3 linked regions of the Schizosaccharomyces pombe genome follow. The gene in region 1 interacts genetically with each later gene. Each region holds a gene or a part of one and is shown on either strand. Other genes may lie near its edges.

The links.
Region 2: of rad55 (region 1) and mag1, a mutation in one rescues a mutant of the other (synthetic rescue), as found in Schizosaccharomyces pombe (one study listed by BioGRID).
Region 3: of rad55 (region 1) and pmd1, changing one enhances a phenotype caused by changing the other (phenotypic enhancement), as found in Schizosaccharomyces pombe (one study listed by BioGRID).

What each region holds. Positions count from the first base shown.
Region 1 is NC_003424.3:2,064,910-2,071,094, reverse strand, and holds rad55 (DNA recombination mediator, RecA family ATPase Rad55/Rhp55), read left to right. Parts: upstream 1-3,180; 5' UTR 3,181-3,330; coding exon 3,331-3,346; intron 3,347-3,390; coding exon 3,391-4,427; 3' UTR 4,428-4,653; downstream 4,654-6,185. Other genes in the region: SPOM_SPAC3C7.04 (transcription factor), read right to left, coding at 1-2,331; eisosome BAR domain-containing protein Pil2, read left to right, coding at 5,091-6,185. UniProt on the Schizosaccharomyces pombe protein: Required for radiation resistance and meiotic viability and acts in recombination and recombinational DNA repair pathways.
Region 2 is NC_003424.3:2,952,191-2,958,256, forward strand, and holds mag1 (DNA-3-methyladenine glycosylase Mag1), read right to left. Parts: upstream 2,675-6,066; 5' UTR 2,635-2,674; coding exon 1,948-2,634; 3' UTR 1,538-1,947; downstream 1-1,537. Other genes in the region: SPOM_SPAPB24D3.03 (agmatinase), read left to right, coding at 226-1,452; SPOM_SPAPB24D3.06C (uncharacterized protein), read right to left, coding at 3,874-4,824; SPOM_SPAPB24D3.07C (uncharacterized protein), read right to left, coding at 5,834-6,066. UniProt on the Schizosaccharomyces pombe protein: Hydrolysis of the deoxyribose N-glycosidic bond to excise 3-methyladenine or 7-methyladenine from the damaged DNA polymer formed by alkylation lesions. Can release ethylated and propylated bases from DNA in addition to 3-methyladenine.
Region 3 is NC_003421.2:1,631,880-1,642,163, reverse strand, and holds pmd1 (leptomycin transmembrane transporter Pmd1), read right to left. Parts: upstream 7,072-10,284; 5' UTR 6,865-7,071; exon of another isoform or gene 6,638-6,864; intron 6,453-6,637; exon of another isoform or gene 6,353-6,452; 5' UTR 6,191-6,352; coding exon 2,102-6,190; 3' UTR 1,593-2,101; downstream 1-1,592. Other genes in the region: rpl39 (60S ribosomal protein L39), read right to left, coding at 988-1,143; wtf element Wtf15, read right to left, coding at 8,222-8,298, 8,358-8,414, 8,454-8,690, 8,738-8,995, 9,201-9,339.

The sequences.
Region 1 (6,185 bases):
CCAAGTAGGATGCATATTACCTAGCCAACTACCTTCGATATCCATGCCTTGATCGGTATTAGCCCAGTTTAACAAAGATGAATCGTTGGCAAGATCAGGCGTTGTCTTTATAGGATCCAAAGTGCTAGCAAACTTTTCTAGATCATCATCCAGTTTACTGTGGTCCAAAAGGAAAGATGTATCATCAGTTGGAAAGAACGAAACATCTGCACCTAAATTTGCATTGGGAGTCAAAGAATTACTATTTCTTCCCCCACCGATACTTTTATTGTAAGGACTCATAAGTTTTTCAGGTTCGTCTTTAGCAGAGACTTCCGCGATCCAGCGCTGCCACGCCATGAAACCAGATTGGCTAGTATTCCCATTACCGTCAGAGCGAGCTCCTTTGAGATGAGCATCAAAGAGTCGAATAACTCTAGCACAATTCTTGGCAGCTTCATTCCCTTCTGCCATATAGTCGAGAGCTGAGTAAGCATACTGCATTGCTATGTCATCTTCTTCACAAGGTTCGGTAACACAGTGAAGCAAAACCACCAGCGCACTTGAGAAGGTATAATTATAGTCAAAGAAAGAGTAACAAGAGAGTTGAGAATGATTCTGAAGTAAATGTACGAGTGAAATTAAGTGCCTGGCAGCTAAAATGCAGTCTTCATTGATACGATCGACACGCGGAGAATTTTTTGCATTTTTCATTTTATGTAGTAAAACAGGTCGAGACATGATGATAATAGCTTGGTCATATGTCATGTGTAAATGCACATTTGCACGAAAAAGTGGGTCTTCAGCATCAAGATTTTCCAAAATCTGAAATGGTGGTAAAGAACGCTTCCATTCTTCAAGATCGGCGCGAAGGGATTCAATTATGTTTATTGGATTCTTTTTATAATTGACAGTTCCATAAAGTTGTTCCATAGTTTTTCCCATTATTTTCGCAATTTTAGACATAGATATGATATTATGAACGTTGGAAGCAGAACCTTCTATTTCCAATTCAGGCACTACTGTTGGTAATGCCGCATCACATTCGCTGTCCGCAATAGAAAGTGGACGTCCTGTAGCAATACTGATTAAGCGATCCATGGTATAAACCGACCACCATAGGCGATTACGAAGTTCTTTGGTCTTGGGATCAATATTTGGATTTTCACAGCTACGATGCAACCCGTTTGCGACAGCAGCAGATAAAGAAAGTCCGAAGTAAGTATAGGAACTCTTTTGGGAAAGTGTAGACTGAAGATACAACCCCATAAGTATGGAAGCCTGAACCAAGCTTGGTTTGCATTGCTGAATTACTTGTGGTAACAAAAGCCTAGCAGTATCAAAAAACTGTTTTCCTGGGTTGTCAAAAGGATTGCTAGCAGAACGAATTTCCATGTGAGCAAACATACTACCAAGTGCAAAGATCATCATTAGCAAGCAAAGAAAGCCAGGGTCAACGGATGGATTTTGGAAGCTCATGATAAGGTTTAAACGATAACGAAGTAATGTTTCATGGAAAAAGAAAAAATTTGCTTGAACATGGCCATAGAAAGATTTGATAAGAAAATCTGAAACTTCAGGAGGAGGGAGAAGACTCAGCGCTTTTTGAACAGCATTTACATCATGTTCATTCGGAGGATAACTGTGATGGGTATGGGAATACGCGCTCAGCTCGGAAAAAGAAGGATCGACAAGTAGTTCACTTTGAACAGAGTCAACGAATGCTTCACCAGCAGAAGCTCCTATATAACGGGATTCGCCGTTAGAGTCAACTTTTATTTTTCCAATTAATTTCATGATTTCGTCAACGCTTTGATCGCTAGCATCAGCATTGATTCCATTGTTCGTATCCTCTGCTACGACCGTTGGATCTTGCTGAATTTGTGAACAAACAAGTGCACCTTGTGTAAGGGTATCCACGTCACGTTGACTATTGGTGCTTTCACTATTGAGGGAAAAGACATCTGAAGATAATAGTGATTTTTGGTTGCTTATACGATTGCAAACTTCAATCAATGAAGGTGTAGTATAAGTCGAAACTTTGGTGGAACAAAGACGTTCAACAATATATTCTAAACACTTGTATCTTTTTGAAAGATCAATAAAGTAGTCCTTAGAATAATCCATTTCTTTTTCATCCTTTACTGGATATGTGCATTCCAAATTATTGGAAGCACAAGCTTTGCATGGGTTTGCCCCGTCGCAACGAACTTTCCGGGCTTTGCAGTTAAAGCAGGCTAGAACCACCCTTCTTCGTCTCTCCATAGGAACACGACGTCTCCTATTATGCTGCTCCTGCTTCATGGCTTCGAACAGAACCGCCGTATTTTCAGGTGAAAATTCATGGCTCATTTTCCCCGTTTATGTTAGTAAAATACCAAGTTCATACCAATTTCCATAAATTTAAAATTCTTTTTCTATATTACAGAATTTCAATTCTGAAAAGAGAAAATGCTTAACTATGGCAATGACTTGGCAGAACTTGATTAGTAAATGCCTAAAAGAAAAAATTGTAGTACCCCAGCTCCTATGTTCTACTGGAGGGCGTAATTTAGTGTAGTGGTACGAACCTTTTTTATCAACGAAATCTAATATATACACATATTATTAGTATATGAGACCTTGTTTATACATAACTTTAAGAAAAAATCTAACCGATTTTAAATTTTTGAAAAATAAATACTGCTTGTATTGTACTTTGAAAATGGGAACTTCCGTCAATTTCTTTTCGTTGACGAGCTTATACGTTTATTGAAGCATGGCATGCAATCGATTTTTGTTAATAATTTTCCATTTTAGTATTTCTTCAATAAAATGAGTATTGTGTACATAGTAAACTAATTGCACACATATCGGTCGACACGCTATTTCATAAACGGAATGTAGTACGAAAATAATAGCTATTTTGATTAAAACCCTCTTGAGTTTCAATACAAATGTAAATGTTGCGTTATATGAACCCAAAGTTTAAAGTTCAAAGTCAAAGGCAGTAATGAATCATAGATTCAAATGAACTTGAGCTTACTCTTGCATTCCTGTTGACCTACCTAGTCAAATTTCCCATTATGTATAAAGGTTACGAATTTGTTACCTTCTAATCTGCTTAACCTTAAGACTAAAATAATTTATTCCTTATAAGAAACAACATTTAATGAAATGATTGCAAAGTAAAACACGTAGGATTTCCTTTGTCGTTCTACCAACACCTCCAAACCTTACAACGTATCGTTGTTTCTCATGTAAAGGGAAATTTTCCTATATCCTTTTTATGCTGTTATCAATTTAATATAAACTGTATCGCTGTTATTCTAGTAGGTCGCACTGTGCTGGATTTAACCTTCATTGAAATAAATGCTGTCTAGTCAACGTATGCGACTTCCAGCCTAGCTAACTGTGTCTAATACTTTTTAGATCGTCTAGTGACTCAACCTGCTATTCGTGCGTACGAAGCATTTTCTGCTCCAGGTTTCGGCTTTAATTCAAAATTATTGGATGATGCGTTTGGAGGAAGTGGTCTTAAAAGAGGGTATATTTCTGAAGTATGTGGAGCACCTGGGATGGGAAAAACAAGTTTGGCTTTACAGATTACTGCAAACGCTCTTCTTTCCGGTTCTCGTGTGATTTGGGTCGAAACTTGTCAACCAATTCCCATGGAGAGACTTCGTCAACTATTAGACAATCACGTCCCTTCTTCCCAAGATGAAGAGGAAAAATGCGATACTGATGAGTTATTAAATCTTCTCGATGTTGTATATGCACCCAATTTAGTGAATATTCTAGCTTTTTTACGAAATTTCGATCAAGAAAAACATCTTAAAGAAATTGGATTATTAATTATTGACAACCTATCAATGCCTATTCAACTTGCATATCCAACCAGTCCAGAAGATTATGCTTATCTACGTCTTCGTCGTAATACCAGCAAAAAAAGCTCCCTTTCAGATTCATCTCAAAAAGAAAACACTTTGACGTTAAACAAAGAAAATGAGTTCTCGAGTAAAGACGACTCGAATTTTGCATTTCATAACTCCTCTACCAAAACAACAATAAACCGCAGAAAAAAGGCAATCGGTACAATCAGTTCTTTGTTAAGCAAAATTACATCCTCTTGTTATGTGGCTATCTTTGTTACCACCCAGATGACTTCAAAAGTTGTTAGTGGGATAGGTGCTAAGTTGATACCGCTTCTCAGCACTAATTGGTTAGATAATCTATCTTATCGGCTCATTCTTTACAGTAGGCATTCAACTGAAGAATCAAAAGATGGACAGAGTCGTCCCTCTCATCAGCTTCTGCGCTATGCATTCATGGCAAAGCAGCCACCAGCTCATTCTGCAGAATCAGAGTTGGCTTTTCAGTTAACATCTACTGGTATTCAGGATTATCAAAGTATTCCTACCAATAGCTCACAACGACGTAAGAGATCCATTTTGGAATGTGAGTCCTAGGTAAAAATGGTGGCTTCAGTTACGAATTTTTTAGCATAGTGATGGTTGTTTTGCCCATATCTATTAATTTATTATACCTATTCATTACGTTGCATAAACAACTATGAATACTTGTCGAGTGTTGGTCAAAAGTTTCTCAATGATTTATTTGTGATCTCATATCTTTTCATAATGTATCATAAGCTATTTTGTTCGTTCATTTTTATGAAATTGCTAATTGTCATAGAGGAGGGAAATGATTAAGATATCTATATGTTTGCTGATTGACAAGTCCTTATTAATTTTCAATTGTTTAGGTGTCGCATTCAGTGTACGGACAATAATGACATTATGCTTTCGACATATAAATTCCATGTTGACATAGTGACGTCTCAAGCCTAGCTCAAATCTTTAAAACATGGGTTCAAGTCGCTAAAAATCTACCTGAACTTTACAGCTCTTTTGTTACTTTCGAAAGTGTAGTCTAATAAGTCCATTTTGAGCCTGACCTTATTTATACTTCGCTTTGTCTAGTGTGAGTTGGCGGATTAAGTATGTTTTAATGAACATTGTTTCAACCTACCTCTAATTAACATACTAACCTTTTTATTAGTATTTCCTTTCTCTTTTTATATATACATATTTTCAAAGTCTTAAATCGTTTATCAAGTAATTAGCAAGATGATGGGCACTCAACCATCTTACTCTATTCATACGCTTCGCGCGCCTCCTAAAGCGAAACAGAATCAAATTCCTCCCTCTACTACCCGTCGTGCAGTAAATGTTAATAAACTCGGCAGACAATTCCGTTATCCATCTGTGGGTATGTTTACTCCCGAAATGGCTAAACGCCTTGCAGCTCTCGTTAAGATGGAAAAGGATTTACTTCGATCTTATGAAAACGTTGCCATGGAGCGCAAAGAATGTGCCAATCAACTTTCGTATTGGGGTGAAGATTGCGATGATGATATTAGCGATATCAGTGATAAGCTTGGTGTACTTTTATATGAAATTGGCGAACTTGAGGAGCATATGGTAGACAGATACGATCAATATCGTGTTAGTCTGAAGACCATCCGTGATATTGAGGCTAGCGTTCAACCCACCCGTGTTAAGAAAGAAAAGCTACTTAACTCCATTTATGATGTTAGAAGCCGTGATCCTGAGTCCCCAAAGCTTATTACTATGGAACAGGAACTAGTTCGTGAGGAAGCTGCGTGTTTGGTTGCAGAAGCGCAGTTAACTAACATTACCCGCGAAAACTTTAAACGTGCTTTTACTCTTCATATTGGTACATTACTTGAGCATTCTGAAAAGGTTGCTATTCTTTGCGGGTATGCCAAGAAGATCCTCGATCTCCTGGACGATACTCCCATTGTTCCCGGTGAGCCTCGCCCTATTTACGATGGTTACAACATAACCCGTGACTATATTGTTGAGGCTGAACGTGAGTTGGCTAATTGGCAAAATCCTTTCCAAACTCCTGAACCCCTTACCGACATTGATGGTTTGCCTTCTCAAAGTCATTATCAAACACAATTTCAAGCTAGTGTCGTTCCTCGCACAGATGTAATCAATGAACCTCCACGCCGTTACTCTCATGCGAATGGTGTAACTACTTCCGGCACTACACACTCTTACACCTCTACAGGTAGTAAAAGATATTCTCAAATGGGTACAGAAGATTATCAACCTAGTTTTCAACCAAACATTCTTCAAAGCACCCAAGTTGTTGATAACTTTGAAATTGGCGAGGAGGATGATGAAGAAGTAGGATCT
Region 2 (6,066 bases), 890 kb from region 1:
TAGCTTATTTTCCTAACCACCCCCCTATGCTTGCAGTAAAATTTATCGGCCATTTTTCTCCATGGACTCCGTTATACAGTACTTCTGCAATACAGGCGCCGATATTCGCCATAAAATGAGTTATACGATTAGTAGATTTTTGATATGATGGGCTTGTATTAGCCCTAAATTTGAAAGTATATAAAGGCCAGTTTCACTGTCTTAGAACCGTAGCTACAAGAAATTATGAAAAGTGTTGAATGGTTTACATGGGGAGTTTTTCTGCTACTTTCTGGCTTTGGAGAAGCTGGGAGGATGGGCTTGGGCTTTCAGGAGAAGAATCCAGTTTTCGTAAAGGAAAAACAATCACCATTCTATGCTGTACCTAGTAACTATGAGGAAGTAGAATTCTCAAGTATAGTCGAACCTATGTATTCAGGGATTGCGACGTTTGGTCGTTTGGAGAATGTTGAATGTTTGAGTAAAAGGTCAGAGGACTTTGATATTGCCTTTATAGGAATGCCTTTCGATACAGGCACTTCTTACCGCCCTGGTGCTCGATTTGGTCCAAGCAGTTTGCGTGAAGGATCTCGACGCATAAATACTAAATACGGTGCAGTGAATGTACCTCTTGAAATCAATCCTTTCAAATCATGGGCAAAGCTTGTGGATTGTGGAGATATTCCAGTCACCACGTATGATATTCTTAAAGCTATGGATCAGTTAGAAAGTGCATATTTCCAGCTAATAGCTCGAAAGCCCTCCAGTTTTACTGACCATGATGGATTTGCAAAAAATGATACTGTGCTTCCTCGAGTCCTTTCACTCGGTGGTGACCATACCATTGTCCTTCCCATCTTACGAGCTTTGCATCGTGTTTACGGACAACCTATTTCAGTTATTCATTTCGATAGCCACTTAGACACGTGGGCTCCTGGATTGATTGGCGATGGCGATGAAGCAGATGGAATAAACCATGGTTCTTATTTCTACTTTGCTAGTCAAGAAGGTATTATGAGCAAAGATGCCAACATTCATGCTGGCATTCGTACTCCTATCTCTAGTTTCTCTGACTACGATGATGATGTTGATTGTGGTTTCAAAATCATTGAGGCTCGTGAAATTGATGATTTGGGGATTGATGGTATCGTCAAAAAGATTCGTGACAGAGTTGGTGATAATTTGGTATATTTATCCATTGATATTGATGTGCTTGATCCTGCATTTGCACCCGCTACGGGTACTCCTGAAACTGGCGGTTGGTCATCTAGAGAAATGAGAGCAATTTTACGTGGTTTGCAAGGTCTGAAATTCGTAGGCGCTGACCTTGTCGAAGTAGCTCCCGCTTACGATGTTGCAGAAATAACATCCTTGGCTGGTGCGCAATTGTTATTTGACATTGTATCTATGATGGTGAAATATCCTTTGGTAAAAGAGGCTGATTTATCTCGTTACATGCCAATACATAAATAATTGAAATAACTGGTTTATTTAATATTCAATATTTATATCGACATCATAGATACAGATACAGAAATGAGCATGTTCAAAAAAAATCATTATTCATTATATTATTAACATATCATACGCAAGTATATCGTTAGAGACAGCTGAGCGTCATCTATCTTGTATCACATAAAGTAAAAGACAAATGTAGCAGAAACGGGTTTTCTTAACCACCCAAGAGTGTTTTGTAAATATTTGCAAATGAACCCATTAAAACATCTCATCTCCCTTTTGTTATTTTTGCCATCATTCACCAAAAAATCACTTCTTTTATATAAGCGTAATGTGACGAAAATGCTTCGTCTGAGTGGACGTAGACATTCTATTCAGAAATGATTGAAAAGATACTATAAATTGGTAAACCAAAAATAAAAAGAAGCGTACATAAAATGTAAAAGACCAACCAGGAATAAACTTATCGAATTCAACTTTTTACTTTTAAATATATAATACATCTGTCCTTCAGTGTTTCTTCGGCCTAACAGGCTTTGTATAATCGGCAAGTTTTGACGTTTTCCAGAGATACCATGCTGCTGCAGTACGAAAAGGTGCACATATTTCACTATGCTTAAGAACATACATCTTGGTTGGAATTTTTGGTAATCGGTGTAGATATCGGTATCCATTACGAATACTCAAATCGTCAGCTGGCATAACATCATCACGATTCAACGAAAAGATGAGTAACATTTCTACTGTCCATCTTCCGATTCCTTTAATCTGAGTAAGTCGTTCTATCAATTCTTCATTTGAGAGCCTTTCAGCTTCTTCTTTAGTAGGAATCAAACCGCTGATTGTTGCCTCAGCAATGCTTTTTAATGAATCAATTTTACGAGCTGAAAATCCACAGGCACGCATTATTTCAAAATCCATATCACGAATTTCCTCTGGTGTTGGAAATTGGCCATTGTTAGAAATACTTTTAAAGCGATTGAAAATTGCGTTAGCAGCTTTACTATGCAATTGTTGAGATGCTACCGCACGAATTAATTCTTCATAAGGCTCTTTTTTCTCCATACTTCGATTGGGTCGATAATTACCAACGAGCTTCACGAGCCGTTTCCAATTCTCATCCAATCCAGAAAGATGGATTTCTGCTTTTGTGAGTGAAGTGACTATCTCTTCTTTCTCTTCAATGTCCAAAGTCATAATAGCAAAGATTCAATTGATCAAAAATTTATCACTCATTATGTGCTTTTGACTAAACGGTAAGGGTTTTCATTCCTTAGGAATTGCACTGCAATTCGTTATTTATGTAAGCAAGTCCTAAGCTAAAAAAAAGGAATCTTGAAGCAAATTCAACATTCTTAGATGTAATTTGAAACTTCAATTAAATTTTCATCTGGATCGCGAAAATAAATAGAGAGGATAACTCCTTCAGCTCCAGCCCTTGTAATAGGACCTTCTTCTATGAGAACATTTTGCTTTTTTAAGTGAGCAATGACTTGCTCTAAGGGTGTTTTAGCTATTAGGCAAATATCATTTGACCCAGGAGTCAGTATGTGTGATTTTGGGTCAATCTCATTACCCTTTTGATGCAAGTTGATTTTTTATGACCGAAACCGAGTGCCTTGCGATTGTTTCCAAATGCGATAACCGACATTCCTAATGTGCGCTCATAGAACTCACAGGTGGCTTCTACGTCTTGGACAGTGAAAACAATATGGTGGAAACGATCAATTTATATAATATCTTTTTCCATTAGTTAGTATCAAAGATCTTTTATAGATGTAAAATGTTGTAAAGGAGAGTCAGAGGAAACTAACCACTTCCGTTAAACAAGTAACAACTCTTCGACCTTAGAGTATATGACAGATTAAAGAAATATTGGGCGTTCAATAAGGCATAAAATGGATAAAACGATGGAATAGCTATAAAGAAAGCATAGTGTTTTAAGAATTATTCATCCACCTTACTAAGCTTACTTTCTCTAATTAGCATTGACGTTGAACATAAAGAAGCTTTGCAGTTGTCTTCATAATACAATTGAAGTAACTATACGCCTTAATTTACAATGACAGAAGTATGGAGATGAATATTGTTATATAATCTTAACACGTATAAAATGGATAAATGCGCTATGAAGGGAATGGGATAAACATTAAGTCTTAATTTGTAAAACAGTAGATTAGTAACTGGAATTGTTCTCAATATACCTTTTATAGCATTTCAAAAGTAACTTCAAAGATAAAAAATATCACAAAAGTTATCAAACTCCAACTTTGAGGAAGCTTTTGATAGCTTAAGGGTATGCTTTTGAATTTAAAACATTACTTTTGTTAAATCTCCATTGCGAGATTTTGTCGAATATTTCATCCGGATCACAATTATCTAAACTGTTCTACGTGACTTTTAGCGCTAAAGTCATATTCTATGTATTACGAATCTTTATTGATCAATGAAGCTTCTTAAAGCCGTTATAAGTTGATTTATCAACCATTTCAAAGCTTCTGGTGAAGATTTTGGCCCGACATTATGTGTAGCTCCCGGTATGATGCCGCTTAAGGAACTATTAGAAGTTGTAGGACGAATTGATTCGCGAAATCGGTTCAGTAATTGTGCTTTATCAGTTGATGGCGAGACGAACTCGTCCCTTTCCGACATAAGCAGTATCAACTGACTATGTGCTGTGGAGCCGGAGATTTCTTTGAGATTACCAAAAGTTTTAGCGAAATCATCGGCGCTCAGGTCAGAGGAGAAAAAGTCATCATTTCCGCGGACATCTGTCAAGTCAATGCATCGATTTGCAGATGTCGGAACTTCACCAAAAAAATTCTCTACCTTGCTTCTAGGTAAAACATCATTTCCTAGTCCTTTGTCAAGATATTCTGCTTTAACCCAGTCAACCAATTCCTTTGTTTTTTCTTTCCCGTTAAATTGATACGCGGCTTCTCTATCCGATACTGGAGCTTGTGCTATTCCGGCGATTAAGTAGTTTGGAAGAATGGACTGTGTAAGATAGTATAGTACATTCTGCGATCCCGTGGAATGTCCCATCAAAACGATTTTGCGAGTAGAAAAGTCCGCGCCTCCAATGTGCAAAAAATAGTCCACTGCCTTGTGTAAATCCTCGTCATCTCGTTTCAAACTTCCCGTTCCCCATCCTATATACGAGGACTGAGTTTGAACCTGTACAATACTCCAACCAATTTCATCTAATGGATTGACCAGTTCTTGAACATATGGTACTGTCAAAAGACCATCGCCAAGTCCCCCGACAAATAACAATAATGATCGAGTTACGTTGGATGTAAGTGTAACGTTACTTTTTCCAACTAGCTCGAAAGCAACAAGCCTTTCTGTGTACTCATGGAGAATACCAGGATGCGAGGCTGACATCGTGCAATAAATAAAAGAATCAAATTTTTAGATGTTGAAAGTTGAATAATTTTCGCCTAACCTTACAAAGTAGATATTCATACGATGCTCAAATACGAGATATGAGCAAGGATTATATCTTATCCATTATCAGCAAAACAACAACTAAGCTCACTATTTTGATCGCGTGCTTTATAATATAATTACAATCCGGTTTACAATCAAGTTTAAGATATGATTATAGAAATCTCATATAGAAGGATTGAATTAGTAAATTTAGGTATTGAAGCTTGGAGTTGATTGTACAAAAGTTAATCAATTCAAGAGTTTAAGGCGTTCGAAACTATTTGCTTAGTATTTTCCAAAAATTATTGTTTATAGATCATTCAGCTACTATAAAGTACGAATTTTGCAATTCCTTCTTTTGCTTTTGCTTTATGTAGCTTTCCATAAACCACTATGGATTTCAAATAATGATGGTCGCAGTTGGAACGAATTCACAAACCCAGCTTGGTAAAATGATTAATGAGAAAGAGATATATCGCTCTAAATGAAAGTTGGATAACATTATTACTAGCAGAAAAGTGGATATGTGCGATAATACAAGTTTAAAGATGCATACAATGGCAATTAACGATTTGAGTGGTGTCAATTTTGATTTGTATGATGTATCCAATCGAAAAAGATTGAGTAAGTTATATCTTGTACTGAACATCATAAAATTGCAATTAGACGAAAATACAGTAAACGTTTATCTACTCACTACAATTACTACTACTGAGAGAATACATTACAATAAACCTTTTCACAACAGTGACCACATAACTAAACAAAAGTGATTTTTATTTTCACATAGAATAAATTATGTAAGACGATAAACGACTACAATTAACCAGGAGTTTCAAGACCGTGTTTGAGATAACTTATCTAAAGGGATTAGCTTTTCGCAGCAAATCGCATTAACAGGAGAGTTTCATACGTAAAGACCCGTCTTTTTCGTCAATTAATAGGGATCAAAAAACGAGAGAATTTAAGCAAAGTATTGAAGGAACTTGACACCGATGTCTCCAACAACTTGGGTCTGAGTGGGCAAAGTACCGTTGGGGAAAGAGTTCAAGGTAGTGTTCAAAGCACTTGCAAAGGTGAAGGCAGGCTCAACGAGAGGGCTGTAACCAGAAGTGAAAGTAGCGACACATTGTCCATAAATATAGAAGGGACCATAGTTGGGGAAAGCGGAAAGGGGAGCATACTTCCAGCTCTCGA
Region 3 (10,284 bases), on another chromosome or scaffold:
TATCGTTATTAAAAGACATGAATTATTGCAATTTTGTTTATCTCCTTTTTCATTGAGCGAAGAAAAAAAAAAGAAAGACCCTCCAATTATCATTTAAAACTTATTGCGTCTCGCTCAACCTTCATTGCAAGTGGGTAGGTGGGCTTTGAACACCTTCACGCTTTATTCTCTTGTTTCTGACCCTTTGATGTTCCCATCGATTTCCTTGGACATCATTCTGCCAAATGTGTTGCCATTTCATCTTTTTCTATTCTATTTTCTATTTTTTAAGCTCAACGTCACTGGCACTGAACTTTAGCACAGCTAGCTCGTTTTTGACTAATCTATACTCAATTGAAGTTCTGCATGACTACCATTAAATTTTTGTTTTATTTTTTTTACTTCTGGTCAAGTTTTAAATTTGTAAATATTTTCCTTACACAAGTAGACTTAAGATGTGTTGAAAGCTTCTTGATACCCTATGTACTAAAAAAACCCTGTAGCGTAAAACAATGCAGGAGGACAAATCATCCTGCAGTCATTTTATTTGTTACAAAGTATTTTAATAAAATAACTTACAAACTTTGTCGAAATTGAAATGAGTATAAATTTTTCAAGCTCTTTAAATAAAAACAAAAACTCATCTATCCCGACAATTACAAGTCAAAAGTTTTTCCTACCAGGTCAGGCCGCGCCGCCACCAACTACTAGAAAATTAAAGTACACTTAAAATCGTTTTATTTACAGATCATTCAACTCTACTATATTACACGACAATCCTTACGACTTGCATGGAACTGTTTACATAGTTATTGAAGACAACAGATACATTGCGTTTATATAGAAATTTTTCGCTCAAACAGAATGGATCCATTTTCTATTTTTGCACACGTAAAACGTAGGATACGCATAAAGCAATCCATAACTTCATGTACACGAACGCTATCTCAGTTAGAAAACAGTTACTCCACAAGCAAAGGCGTCGGTTGATTTTGTCGACATACCATTTTAGATGTTCAACTTGGTACGTCTCCAGTGTCTTCTCTTCATGTTATAATGAACAGTGTTTCCGGTGCGAAGACGAATCCATTGAGGAATGGGGCGGTTTTGACGCGCAGCCTTGGCAAGCTTTTGCTTGGTACGGAAACTCTTGTGAGAAGGCATTTTGTGGAAGACAGAGTGTTGCATCCACGCAACTAAAGCGAATGTGACTGCTCTTTTTTCACAACTGTGACTGTCTTTTGAAGGTTTTTGTAGGATTTAAGGAATAATTTCAACATACTATGGTACATATTGCTAGTAACCGTTAAAACTGTTTTGTGAAATATGCCGTCAGAGCGTTATTTAAACTAGAATTGAGATACTGAAGAAATAATTAAATATATTTCAGTTAGTCCAAAAGCTTGTTGTTAGAAAAAGGCAGACGCATTCAAGAAAGTAGTGTTAGTAAGTAATATTTGGTTCAATCATATCAAAGTAAACTTGCTATTAATTTTACATTTGGGCTAGAAGCTCATATTTTAAGCATTGAGGTACAAAGAAGTTCCCAAGTCAAAAAACTTCTATTTTGTTACTACTATTTACAATTTGAAAAACTACGAAATCCGTACTTATGAGGGTCAATAAAAAAACAAAAAACGAATCCATTATTCATTATGAATCAAAGTTAATGGTAAGAGTAAAATGCCATCGTACCGATTACGATAAAATAGACAATTATTTGCACGTTAGCAAATTAAATTAATCAGTTGACCAAACAACATTAAATAGCACAGACATTAAAATTCCTTACATTGCTAGTAAGGCCATAATGCCTAAAAAGTAACCTTGTTATTCAATCCTTGAAATTGACAAGTTTTTGGAATAAAACACAAACCTGACTATGGATGAAGACATATCTAGAAGACAAACGACAAACATCCATTTTCAAAATAAGGAAATATTAAGTAATTTAATAGCATTGGTCATGCTTCATCGCATAATAGTATACATGACCTAAATAAAGGAAATTCGGAAATAACTTAACGATATATGAGGGAGTTAATCTAAACAATGGAAACCCTTTTACTGATCAGAAAGACAAAAAAAGGGCTCTTGTCGGGTATCACCCTTTTCAAATAAATTATGCTTTGTTCAATCCCTGTTCAACCACAAGTTCATAGTAACGACCGCGCTGTTTAACAAGCTCGGCATGAGTACCAGCTTCAGCGATAACACCACCATCAAATACGAAAATACAGTCTGCATCTTGGATAGAAGACAAACGATGAGCAATTGCTACCGTGGTTCTACCTTGAGAGGCGGCATTTAAAGCTTCTTGAACGACCTTTTCGCTATGACTGTCTAAAGCACTGGTTGCTTCATCTAAAAGGAGAATCTTTGGATTTCTAATTAATGCTCTAGCAATGGCAATACGCTGTTTTTGACCACCAGATAAGGAAGAGCCCTTTTGACCGCAAAGTGTGTTATAACCGTTGGGCAATCCAAGAATAAACTCATGAATATTGGCCTTCTTGCAAGCTTCAATCATCTCTTCTTCAGAGACATCTTTAGATGCGCCCAAAACAATGTTCTCACGAACAGTACCTTGGTACAACGTTGGCTCTTGAGAGACAAGGGCAATTTGTTTGCGGTAGTCGTTAATGTTATAGTCACGAACATTAACACCGTCCACCAATACAGCTCCATTGTCGCAATCGTAGAAACGCTCGATAAGCCCAATGGTCGTAGATTTACCACAGCCAGAAGATCCTACGAATGCGACAAACTGCCCGGGCTTCACAGTGAGGTTCAAACCACGAAGAACTTTAATATGCCTTCTGGTAGGGTAACTAAATTCAACTTGCCTGAATTCAATTGCTGCACTTTGAAGGGATTCAACTTTCTTTCCTTCCGTCGACCATGTATCAATTTTAGGTTTTGATTCGGACAAATACTTAATTTCACCGGCAGCAGCCTTTGCTTTTGTTACATCTGCTGAGTAACCAAAGAATTGACCAGCTTGTTGTATACCAAAGACAATTGCAATAAAACAAGTATAAAACTGAACGATGTTATATTCGCCCTTGCGCATTAAGGTAGAACCATACCAAAATGTCAATGCGTTAATCAAAAAGGTAACACCTTGAGCAGCAGAAAAGAATAAACCAGATTTCAATGATGCGATTGCCGACTCACGGCCAGGTTTGATGAGAGAATCACAATACTCAGCAAAAACGTTTTCTTCGCGATTAAGACTAGCGACTGTACGAATGGCTGAAGTTGACTCGCATGCGAACGCAGCTGACTCTTTGTAGGCAGCAGACAACTTCTCTTGGACTTGATCAAGAGCACGTACACGGTAATAACCAGCAGTAATGATAACAGGGGAGGTCGAAAGGGTCACCAAACCCAACTTCCATCCTGTAGCCAAAGATAAAATCGTAACTGAAATGATATTGGTCAAAATTTGGAAAAAGGTTCCTAAAGTCGGGCCGCTCAATCCCTCCAAAGACTGAATTTTCGTTGATAAAGAAGTAGTAATAGCACCAACTGTGTTCTCACTACGGTCGAAAAACTCAACATCTTGACGAAGCAATGTTCGAAATAGATGATAACGAATTCTTTGCAAAACTGCTTCCATTGCATAAGTCATTGCAAAATTGGAAATTGCATAAGCGAAGAATTGAACAATAGCTAGAATAAGCCAATAAACAGCAAACACGTTTACTTTGTGTAAAAAGTCTGTGGATGAGAGATCAGTGAAGATATTGAGAAATCTTGCAAAAACAGCTGCCTGAACAGGGTAAGCTGCACCACAAATCATAGAAGCCAAAATACCAATTAATAGACAAATAATCTCTATCATTGTCCGTACAAAAGAATGAATGAACCATAACGCTGTTAACGAATTAATCTCATGGTTGTTTTTCTTTGACTTTTTGGACTTTTTAGGCTCCTCATTAAGTTCACCGACATCTGCAGGAGGTAGGTTTGGAACAATTTCGGAAGCTACATGCTGAAGGGTTTTGTCTTCAAACACGACATTATCTTTCTCGTTGAGTTTATTATTCAACGTATCAGTATCCGTATTATGGGACATCATAGGGGCCTCGAGGCTAGCCATATCATTATCTTCATCATCGTCACCAAAAGACGTTATGGGTATTTCCCTCGGAGCATCCTCCAGTTCTTCCTCGACCATTTCCTGGTCTTTTTCTCCACCTGATAGCTTTTGAGCTTCTACTAGTCTAGCATAAGCACCATTCAGATCTAACAATTCATTGTGGGAGCCCTGTTCAACAATTTTTCCTGCATTCACTACGACAATATTATCAGCGTTACGAATTGTAGAAAGACGATGAGCAATAACGATAGTGGTACGAGATCTCGATGCATTATCTAGAGCTTTCTGAACAAGCACTTCACTCTTAGAGTCTAAAGCACTTGTGGCTTCGTCCAACAATAAGATCTTGGGATCACTAATAACGGCCCTAGCGATTGCAATTCTTTGTTTTTGTCCTCCTGACATAAGGAAACCGCGTTGTCCAACATTAGTTGAAAATTGCTCGGGTAATGTCATAATAAAGTCGTAAGCGTTGGCAAGCTTAGCGGCATCATAAACTCTTCTTTCCAATTCTTCCTTAGACAAGGTACCTTTAATTGTATCAGGCAGGCCATAAGTTATATTTTCAAACACAGTTGTAGCAAACAGAACCGGTTCTTGTTGTACCAAAGATATTTGATTTCTCAGCGAAGCAACGTTCAGCGTTCTAAGGTCTTTACCATCTAAGAAAACCTGCCCACCAATGGGGTCGTAAAATCGCTCAACAAGTCCAATGATCGTGGATTTGCCGCTACCACTGGCACCTACTAAAGCAGTAATTTTACCAGAAGGGCATACCAAAGAAAAGTTATCCAGCACTAAAACTTCAGGACGAGTAGGATAAACAAATCGAATATTTTTCAATTCGATCTCCCCTTTAATATCTTTGACTACATCACCAGTAGGTGTAAAAGCATTAATTGGACTAACACGATCAATTGTGTCGAAAATCTTTTTAGCGGCTGAGGCACAACTAACAAATGACTGCATCTTAGGAGAAATGTTGGCCAAACTATAGGAAGCAATAAGGACGGCGAAAAAGCAGCCAATTAATTTGCTAACATCTAAATCACCTGCATGTAGGAGGCGTCCACCTTCCCAAAATGCAAGACCGTAAACACCATACGCAACAAAGAACATCCATCCAACCATTAAACCCATTGCAATTGCCTTATTGATACCGAAGCGTTGTGCAGTTATTAAGTACTTATTGTACAATTTTGCAAGAATATCTTGGGTACCAAAAGCAAAAGCATTTCTGATATTGGAAAACACTTCTTCCACAAATGTACTGGATTCGGCAACGACGGCGATTTGACCTTTGGTGTTTTTGGTAATAAAGGGAACACCCAAGCCGATACCACCACAAATGGCTGGAAACATTGAACTCAATATCAATGTGAACTTCCAATGACGAATAAAAGCGATAACAAAACCAGATACAAAGGTTGCTATTGCAAAGAACACCAATCCGACCTTCTCACCTAAACCATCTTGAATAAAGTTTGTATCAGTAGTAATTCGAGTGGTAATTTCACCGGCACCTAGACGATCGAAATAACCGATATTTTGGGAAAGAATGGCATGCAAATAATCTTGTCGAATACGACGGGCAATCCGCTCTCCTGCAATAATAAAGGTTACAGTGTAAATATATGAACAGCCAAAGACACCAATTGCGATGTAAATAAAATAAAGACAAAAGTGATCTACAGTGTGTTGGAAAGATGACGCTCCTTTGCCAGAGGCAAGGTCGGTAAAAGCTTGAGCCAGCTGACCGGATACAAGGGACATCAATGGCATACCCAGGCCGGCACCAATACCAGTAATGGTGCCTGCCAATTGCAGCATAATATCCCATTTATCGGCGTATGAAAGGATTCTAGGGTATCCAGAAAGTTTGGCAGGTGTGTCATTAATTTGTTTGTAAAGGATTTCTTGTTCTTCAGGAGTATACTGTTCAAAAGGATCTTTGACAACATCTACCACGTGGCTTTCAGAAGCCTCATTCTCGCTTTTCTCTGTTGAAAAGTTTTTTTCATTTGAAGGTATGCTTTTGATAGAAAGGTCCAAAGAATGTTCGTTATCCTTAACCGTAGAAGTGGATTTTTTACTATGCAAAGACATGATTATGCAAATTCTATAAAATTAAAACAAATTAAGAAAACCAGTTTGAGGATCGAGAGTAGAAAATGGAAATTAAGAAAAATAGGTAGGTTTAAACAAACGGAGATGTAGAAGATGAAAAAAATAATTTAAACCAAATAATTGGAAACTAAAATCGTAACACTAAGAAAAGGGTTAGAAGTCGTTCAAATAACAAGTCATCAATTATGGATAAAAAAGGCTAAAAGGGAGAAGAACGTGAATGGAATTGATAAAACGAATATCGTCGTAATTATTGTACCAGTTAAAATTTTTATTTAATAATTGGAAAAATCTGGTCAGTGAAAAAAAGCATTGAAGCAAGAAACTTTCAACGCCTATAGCATCCAGTACAACAAAATTTAGCGTTGAACCTTGTGAGGATAAAATCAGCCAACAAATTATTTCACTCGAATGCTTGCAGATGCATATGTGTCTTAAAAATAACAAAGAAAAAAATATTCCTACCCATCCATGAACTATCACAATAATCATTATAATCATAAAAGCCAAGCAGCATCTCAATCGTTCTCCTTCTCATCCAACTTGTAAAGACAGACTATTAGAGCTGAGACAATAATAATATTGCCATGTTACCATTTTGCCAATTCGCATCATCGTTCCTTGTTCAATCCATCCACACACACAACACTTACCAAATTACAATACAATTAACACAGTAGGGTTTTCCCAAATTTTGACAATTGTCAAAAGGCGTAAAAACGTTTCTTCCACGTCCTGATAGGGAATTGAAGTTAAGTTAATACCTCTTAATGCTAAATACTCTAATAAGCAAGCGCAGTCTTCTGCGACTAAACAAAATTCAAGAAAAAGCAAAAGAGTATAGTGATTTGAAAAGTACAACTAAAAATCCCTGTCTAATCAATATAAATGCACACTCGGCGCTTGTTTACCCTCCTCGGTTCCGAGGAGTTAGTTTTTATGAGATGACTAAGAATGAAGTATTTGTCTTTCACGTATTGCCAAATAGTGCGTTTTAGCATGTGGAGGCATAAGCCACAATTAAAGGCGGATTCAGACGTAGAAACAGATAGAATTCGCTAATGTGCAGTTGCGCATTTTTTAACCAAGATAGCAAATTACTTGAAACTACGGTGCTTAAAATTGTGATCTCTATGTTTATATTTTAACAATTGTATAACGAATGTAAAAACTGTAATGAGTGCGTAAAAACATTGTAAACTTTTATATCGTTATATCTCTATATTACGCAAAATTGTCTATCACTGATTATTATATAATTCCCATTAATGAGGTTATCCAACTAGAATTCATATTCATCAACTGAAATGATCAAACTGAGAAAAAAATTTAAATAAACATATACTAAACTTAGTAGAACACAGTTGAGCCTACATTCATCAGTTCAATTAGTGGGCTATACTTCAATTGAGTATTTTACTATTATGCTGGTTTAGCTTAACTATCTTAGCATCAGATAACATTACCTAGGAGCTTTTTTGTCGCTCGCTATTTAGTAAACAATAACATAGATTGGTCTAAAACAAATTAACAAAGAAGTAGACATTGACGAATTTGGTTTCATTAAAAAAGAGTTTAAATTTTGAGAAATAATCATGAAAGAAATATAAACGAAATTATGAATACAACCAGACTGAGCAGTAGGTTTCCTAATTCCACTAGTTGATTTGATAGTCAATCTAAGAATCGCAATTTATCAACGTGGGTTGACATGAATAGTAACCATCATCAACGCATTCTTGCAATAATGGATATGCAAAATCCCATATAAACATGTCAAGTAGCATTGTAGAATGCTTTTAAGTAACACACTGGTCAACAAATTAAATGATAACAAAAGAACGAGATAAAAATATACAGTACAAAAAGTTGGCAAATGATCGACCATACTTAAACTTCCAAATTAAAGCATTATGATTGCAAAGTTACTCCATTGCGTTGAATATTTCGTGAAAAGAGATTTTGAGAAAAGCGCTTCGCGACTATTGACAGTACCAAGCAATAATGAAACTAAACTAGGTCTTCGGGACTTGTTTCATTCAATTGATTGTAGTTATTTTCAAACGCATTTTTTCCGCCACCAAGAGCTTAATATCGTTAATAGAAAATTCTTTGCAAGAAATATCTCATTATTTATAGAACATACATTTAATCCATGCCACGGTATTTATGAACAAATGAGTGCTGCATGATCTGAGTTGTACTGTATTATTAATATAACTAAATTATTACAATAACGAACCTGATTCATTTAAGCAAAAAGAGATGCATGATACAGGAGTGAGAATGCTAGATAATGTTGAGCATTTCCATCCCCATTTATCACCAGAAAGAAGAACTAAAAAATGTTCAATCGTTTTCAAAAGCCCATAGAAAACAAAAGTTTTTAAAAATGCACACACAATGTATTCCTTCTTGAAAGGGCTTATCACTTTTTTCAAAAAGTGCTTCACAGTCTTGGTCCAAGTTTCATAGTAGTCTGAAGAGTTAGTGAATGAACTGATAACATCCTCACAATTTGCTTACAAATTGAGCCGCTAAACAATATCACAGAGATTATACCGAATATAACCAAAAAAGCTATAAGGAAAGTGTGTGTGTGCTCAAAAGGAAGCACGCAACCAAGCACAACAATTGCAAAATAAGAATAATAAACAATACAAAAAGAGAACTTCAGAAGTAGACTATGGCTTGTGGGCGATTGCGTAGATCCTGTATTACTTTCGATGCTGTGATCTGGAGTTTCTGAAGCTTGAGACACAGGATTAGCGGACGTCAGAATATCTGAATGCATTAGTAAATGCTGAAACTTCAAACATTAACAGGAATTTATATTATATTTGAAAGAAAAAAAAAGCTCACCGCGCTTAGAATCGAAAATTTGAGTAAGTCGAATGTAACCAAATAATCACAAACATGTTATTTTTAAATAACATCAAGATACAGTTTTTACTATAATGTTTTCTTTCATATTAACAACATAACGTACCTGAATTTGAAGGCAATGTGCTTTTCTCCTCCGAATTGTGCTCTGAAGGTGGGCTTCCTTCCAAGTCAATTTCATGTCCTGCCTTCAATCCCATTTCTTCATCTAAAGAGCTGCTTAAGGAAGTATAATTATTGCTCATCTTATTAAATGGAGGTAAGATATACTCAAAAATATACCAATTGCTGGGATTGCGACAAACGTAAGAGCTATTAAGAAAACCTCTTTTATCAACAATTCAATGTAGAGCGGCGATCAATAGACCTCTAAAAAAGAACTAACTGTTTCTTTTAGCTTCTCAACTAGTATCAGAAAAAAAAAATCTTTCAAAACCCATCTCTAAAATGCGATTTCCTCTTACATACCCATTTTGTCACTGCTCCTTTTATAACGTGCAACGAAAATACTATTATTAATTTTATGTCAGCAATACTACACTACGCTATGATACACTACGTTGCGTATCACTATATGTCATATGTTGGAATACTAGCTAAGATCCGTTTATTGATAATCACGGGTAACTATTCGTCTATATACATAGATACCCGTTGATAACAACTATTTAGAAATATTATAAATAGAGTTACAACTGAACTGAGGAACGAGGTTCAGTTATGAGCTATATTAGTGATAGGTAACATTATAATCCAGTTAATACAATACCTATACTCAGTTGCTACTTATACAACCTGTGTATTGTAATATAATAGACCACAAGGAAAACTCACCGCAGCTCTACGTATCCTTAAATCAGATACCAAACTGCGTAGCTTACATTTTATATCAATTAGCAAACTCTAACATATTTTTAGGTACGACTTTATTTTGCACTATTCAGTAAACAACCAAGAAATCATTGTGTGCTTAATGAGTTAAAAAGAAATATCCTATTCACATTGACTGACCAAAATTAAAAATTAATTTAGTAGCTAATAAAGGAGTTTATACGGTCCGAAATGGAATGAGTTAACCATTGTTGAATTTCAGCTTCGTCTGTTGGTCTAATAATTGGTATATCAACCGTTATTGAACTATTTGACTAGGGAAAAAAAAGTAATCATCAACAAATACATTCCCATAACAA